Linked DNA regions of Oryzias latipes. The protein of the gene in region 1 purifies or fractionates together with the protein of each later gene. This does not show direct contact. Links are inferred from orthologs where the notes say so. Each region holds a gene or a part of one and is shown on either strand. Other genes may lie near its edges.

Region 1 (2,832 bases):
TATGAATTCTGGTTATGCTAACTGACCTCCACGTGATTATCTTGGTGTGTGAGGCCCAAATCAGTCTGTTTCAGTAGAACTTTGGTAAACTACAAAGCTGCACTGCTAGATGGATTGTAGGTGCATTGTGGGTACTGTAGCCAGTAGTGATACAAACTGCTTCAACTGTTAGTGAAAGAGTGGAAGTTTGACATATCTAATGGTTTAGTCTCGCTGTAGTCAAAAAAAAAGACATTACTTTTTAAAGTGAAAAACATTTTTATTTTCCTTCAACCAGAGAGCCACAATGGAGGGGTCACCGAGCCACAGGCTGCAGACCCCTGCTTCAGATGAAAGCTGATCCGTTTGTCACGGTTCTCTGATGTTATGGAAGTTGCTCTGAAAGTGGCCTGAACATCTTCTGTGTCGCTTGTCCATGTCCCATCATTGCAGAATTAGCTTTTGGGGTTTCAGTCCGTTGAGTTTATGGTGATACTTAAAGCAGGAGCTGGCCAGCGGTTTGGGGAGTGTTGGGTAAATGCCACCAACATGTCTATTAGGCTGGTCAGCAGAGATAATCATAAAGTGCTGTTATTAGAGTTTGTGAGTGTAGTAGTTGGACCAACAACAGCAGTTGACACTGTAATACCTCTGGTTAATAAGTGTCTTGATATGGGGAATGCTGAAACCAACAATTGTCCTGTGTGAAATTCCTCTTGAAGCTCCGGCACCAGGCAGCAGTGCTCTCATTGTCAATCTCCCCGAAACTTTTAAAATGGCATTCTTATCTAATTGTGTAGTAACAGATAACAAAAAAAACACATTAAACAGAGTTTTTCAATATTTATTTGAAACCTATAAGTATCACATCCATGACTGAAGAGGGTAATGTTATCTGGGGGTTGTTAGATATGCTTGGATCTGCTGGGCAGTGAGTGAAGGCCTCATATTGCTGAGTGAATCCAGAAAATGTGCACGTTTGATCGTTGAAGCCTTCATGTTTTCCTCCAGTAGCGCCAAAAGAGCAGCCTGGTAAAAAGAAAGGAACAGAAAACAAACTTTGCTTTCATGTATTTTTCTTTCTCTGTAGGTTCGTTCTGCCCTCGTAGAACTGAGGAACATAGAGTTACAATGTAAGATATTTTCAAAATTAAGTAGCAAGACCAAAAACGTTCTAAATGCAGGTGATGGCTGTTGTCCCGGCTGTCGTATTCTCAGTATGCTTCACCCATATCAAGACTTTGCATTTAATAAATAGACTAAATACATTACTTATTTTAAACTTAGACATTTTATTTGCTTTATGGTTTAAGAATTAAATCGTATTAAGCAAAATAAAAACTAAAAGGAAGTGGATGAAACAGCTGTGTATGGGGAGATGTTCTGACACTGATGAGAAGGCAGCCTTCAATAATTACGATAGTTTATTCATTGCTGAAAAAGCCTGGATAAGTGTTTTTTTCTGTTGTCGTGGGATAGAGCAAAAGGGGGAACTAAAGACCCAGTCTGATCAAAGTCTTTTTTTGAGTGTTTTTAACATGTTCTTCTTGAAAATTGCATTTGTGAGTATTTCTTAATTTTTTTCAAAAAAGTCAAATAAAATGCTGTTTTAATAAAAAAGGTCATATTTGTTTAGTAGACAATGTGCTACAAGCTCCCTGCTGCGCTCCATGCTGATGCATCTGCCTGGAAACATCCAGGTGCACGCACGTCTCCGTTGCCCTCATCTGAGCCGGCATCAGTTTTAAAACTTTACGGCTGGATACCTTCATTATAGATCGCCAATTTTGTTGCAACGGTTAAGTCAGTTTGGAGTTGTGAGGGGCTGTAAGTTAGCAGGAAAGCATGTAAACAGAGAGCTCTCAGTTATGGGTGATGGGAAGGGGGCACCAACAGTCTCACCAGCGATTCAGAGGCAAATTTCTAATAAACTTTTGTTTCTCTGCAGAAACTATGTCCTAGAAAACAACACAGATTTTTTTAAATTTTAGCTAAAAACTGCATCATTATAATTTAAAAAAACTGGGAACGGTTTTACAATACATCAAAAGATGATCGCAGTGGATCTTTAAAGGCTTAGATTACTTTTCCCTTCAAACTCCAACATAGAAATGTATATTTGTTGACAGACATTAGTTGCCTGGGACAGTTTTACCTCTTTACACAGATTTTCCAGGTCTGCTCCAGAGTAAAGCTCAGTCTTATCCGCCAGCTCCTCCAGACTCACATCTGCACAGATGGGCATCCGCTTTGTGCACACCCTCAAAATGGACAACCGTGCCTTGAAACACAACACAGGTAGTTGGAGAAACTGGAAATAAAAATGTGGGATTCAACACTTTTTTGTTTGTTTTCTGCTTTCAGATACGAAATGTACCTGTTGATCGGGCGGCGGCACATAAATAATATGGTCCATTCTTCCTGGTCTGAGGAGGGCGCTGTCTAAGCAGTCTGGTCTGTTGGTCGCAGCTACAACCATCACGTCTTTGTTGCACACTTCCTCCCACTCCAACTGTAACAGAGAAAACACAGCTGATGAGATGAGGACTCATTCGGAGCTTTGAAGGCTTTCAGACACGGTTCTTCCTCGCCGGACCTCTTCCTGTGCTCCACTCTTGGTCATTCCCTCTGCCTGCAGAGTCTTCTCTGCCCCCCTCCTCTCGGTTGTTTTTACACCGATCCCGTCCATCTCATTCAGCAGCACGGACAGGAGACGCGTCTGCTCGCTGTTCTGTGTCTCGTTGGTGGACCGGGAGCCAATCAGAGAGTCGATCTCGTCGAGGAACAGGATGCTGGGAGCACAGGCGCGGGCCTGGCGAAACAGCTGCAGATGCACAGACAGAAGCACACGCA
Region 2 (3,344 bases), on another chromosome or scaffold:
GTCTGAACTTTGTTATAGTCAAAAGGTTACAAAACTTTAGCCACCACATTGCACGACTAAAAGTATTTATTACATTTATTTATTGTCCTTTCCAAAAAATGTCATGCATTTTTATTATTCTGTGTGGATTTCTTAGTAATCTCCAGTCAGCCACAGACTTGAGAGCATATACAGGTGAACAGAAAAACTTGTTGGGGTATCTGACATCAGTGCATTTAGACACGTGATTTCCTGCAATCAAAACATTACATTATGACTCACAGAATATGAACTATTTAAAAAAAAAAAAAACTCTCAGAATTCACCCCCAATTTTTTTTTTTTTTGGCGGGGGCAAAAGTGTACTTTGTTTTTTTCTTGGTGCATTTTTCTGGTTAAATATTTATTTTCTTTCACTTGAGATGGATAAGTGCAGCTTATGTTATTTCATCTGTAACGTTTATGCTTTTATTGACGATAAACATAAAAGAAATGTTTTTATTTTTTTCTGCTGTTGAAAGTAATTCCTCTTAGTCTGCTTGCTAAAAAGGAAAAAGAGGACCGAGTTTGTCCTGCAAACTGCAGCTGGGTCTCGAGCGAAGCTGTGGAACAAGCCCCCCACTGTGGAGGCCGGGATATAGAGTGACACCTAGAAAACGTGTCAAACAGAACGGTTTTGTTCTCCAGCTGTATTTTGATATCAGGCTGTTTGCAGGCTTGTGAATGTCAAAAAACTGAGATTCACCTTCAGTCTTCCTGATGACTGAAAATGCTGTTTTTTTTTCTGTGATCAAATCTGTTTTTATTAAACTGAAATCCATGATCAAAAGAGTGAAAAAAAAGTTTTTAATCTCACTGGGAAACATTAAAAGCAGGGGTTTCTTGCACACACACACAAAAAGGGCAGCATGAATGAAGTTTGGAGTCACTTGCTACGCAGTAATGGCTGCCTGCTAAACCACTTTTCTGCAAAGAAATGTGGACGTTTCTGCGACATACAAAAAAAACACTGCCTGTATGAAGTAAAAAGAATTTTTACAGAAAAACTTTAAGGATTCAATAAATTCATTAAAGGGAAAACTTTATACCAATAGTGTACTGTTTTTATTTTATTTTAGTATAACTCAAACTAAATATGCATCAGCATGGATTTACAAAAAATAAAATAAAGAGTCATGTTTATGGATGCTTATAACAGAAAAACTAAATCTGCACTTTAATGTCCAAGCAATCTGTGACACCATGTTATTTTGACAAACTTCCCTGTTTTATGAGCACTACAGCTGTAAAACCTACAGGAAGGAATAATGAAACTTTAGAGACTTTCCCCTCAAATATAGAGTAAAACTGTCCACAGAGACACCAATATGGTTAGGAGTCCACAGGCTCTGTTTGCCTGTCATGGAGGTTTTATGGCAGAGATTGCTGCTGTGTGGACAGCCTGTGACCTCCAGCGGAGCACCGAGCAGATCCTCACAGACAGCAGGGGAAGGCAGACGGGAAGGAGGCTCACAGGCGAGCTCTTTCTTTCTGTAGTCTGGAGTTATACGTCCGGGATACAGTGTTCCAGGCATCCATGTATCGGTCCATGCACATGGCGATGCACTTCTGTAAAAAACACCAACAGATGAACAGCATTATTAGAGAATGCTACACTTTTATGGAAGTCACATTAATTCTAGGGTTCCACTAGTTCTAATTTAAAAAAAAAAGTAAAAAATATATAGACATGGTGTATTATTCTACAAAGCTAGAAGGCTAAGCTCACGCACACATACCTGCTCAGAGTTATCCAGAGAACTCCCAGGTTTACCTATGCACTTCTTAAAGCATTTATCAGTCATTCTCTGTAAAAGAAACATCAGTTTATATAAACATGACCATCGCAGGCTAAAACCCTGCTAGCTTAGTAACTCTCCAGCCATTGATTTACCTGCAGCAGCTCTTGTGCATTAGCTACCGCGATCTGGACTTTAACCTGCTCCATGATGGTTCCGGTGTCCATTTTACCTCCAGAACCTCCGGATGAAAAGTCTGACCCAAAGCTGTCCATGTCCACCCGAATCTAGCTCAAAACCACGACTTTAGTGAAGTATTTGGCAGCACACGTGTGTTGTTGTAGCTAAATTTCACCAGCGGGACTTTGCGGTGCCCTTGAATGTAGCGGAAGTCTGTAAACGTCATTTCCGTCGAAGAAGATCAGCAATTATAGGAAATGTAGTTATAATTGGTAAATCGCTCAGTCACCATTAGGTTATTAAATAACTTTTTGTTAATTGGTTATATTTGCTGTTTATTTGGTTGTTTTCTTTTCACACGTGTTGTGTAAACTCTTTAAACTAAAGAGTCAAGCTTTTTTAAAGCAACAGTGTTACCAATTATTCTGAAAATGCCTTTTGTGCTACAAGATTAGCCTCCAGGGGGCGCTAAAGGAAAACAATTTCCCAGTCAGCAGACTGAAGGCTGTTTCTTTGCATCGTGATGCAACCTGTAGAGTATGTGATTTTTTCATAGGCACTGTATACAAAGGATGATCTGGAAGGATCTACATTTATTTGTGGTAATTATTCTATTGCAATTATTATTATTATTCCATTATTCTTATGCAATTATTCTATTGCAAAAATGTTGATCTACAAATTCAATATTTTCTACACTTTGAGTTAATTAAAATAAAAAAGGGTTCAAATGTTTATTTTAATAATTTTTATATCCAATTGCACTAAACACAGTGTAAGTTTTAAATGTTAAAATTTTTTGACCAATTCACTATCAATTCAGCAGATAAGATGTCAGTATACAAATCGTTCCCTCCTACCATGATTTCAAATAAAAACTGACGTCTCCTTCTGCGATGTCCCTGCTTTGATTTGTGCTCAGACCTTGGGATTGAGGGTGACCCCCTCCAAAGACTCCTCTCCTTATGTTTCGCACACCATGACCTCACAGAGGAGACCACCTGCCTTGACTGAACAAACATGCAAGTCTGCAGGCAACAATAAAGTGACGGTTAGTGTTGTCTCAACGGACACTCTCTCACTGCTTTATGGCAACACTGGGCCATTGAATAATAATTGTGGGGGGTCTGATTAGGGACATGCCTGCCTTGGACTAATTATGGAGCAACGCTTGCATACACACACAACTGCAAACAGTCTTCAGAACAGTTCATCTAGAAATAAATAAAATCCAGATTATAATCATGAGTTCATTAAACTAATCTTCTTAAAATCGTAATCTTAAGCGCTCTTGTGCTTGAAAGTATTTGGTCCAGTCAGCTTGTTAAAGGAGGCTTCAGTGACACCAGCAGTTATAAAAAATGTGAATATTATGTATTTTCTTACATAACCCTTTGAGGTCACATAA

What was found.
Region 2: the proteins of spata5l1 (region 1) and timm13 purify together in Homo sapiens (co-immunoprecipitation; 3 studies listed by BioGRID and IntAct, with this or other methods). This does not show direct contact. The link is inferred for Oryzias latipes from reciprocal best matches to the Homo sapiens genes AFG2B and TIMM13.

The regions. Positions count from the first base shown.
Region 1 is NC_019861.2:12,896,829-12,899,660, reverse strand, and holds the end of spata5l1 (spermatogenesis-associated protein 5-like protein 1), read right to left. Parts: intron 2,804-2,832; coding exon 2,576-2,803; intron 2,492-2,575; coding exon 2,357-2,491; intron 2,261-2,356; coding exon 2,135-2,260; intron 1,009-2,134; coding exon 871-1,008; 3' UTR 808-870; downstream 1-807. UniProt on the Homo sapiens protein: ATP-dependent chaperone part of the 55LCC heterohexameric ATPase complex which is chromatin-associated and promotes replisome proteostasis to maintain replication fork progression and genome stability.
Region 2 is NC_019862.2:8,256,426-8,259,769, reverse strand, and holds timm13 (mitochondrial import inner membrane translocase subunit Tim13), read right to left. Parts: upstream 2,161-3,344; 5' UTR 2,032-2,160; coding exon 1,912-2,031; intron 1,826-1,911; coding exon 1,757-1,825; intron 1,587-1,756; coding exon 1,488-1,586; 3' UTR 808-1,487; downstream 1-807. UniProt on the Homo sapiens protein: Mitochondrial intermembrane chaperone that participates in the import and insertion of some multi-pass transmembrane proteins into the mitochondrial inner membrane.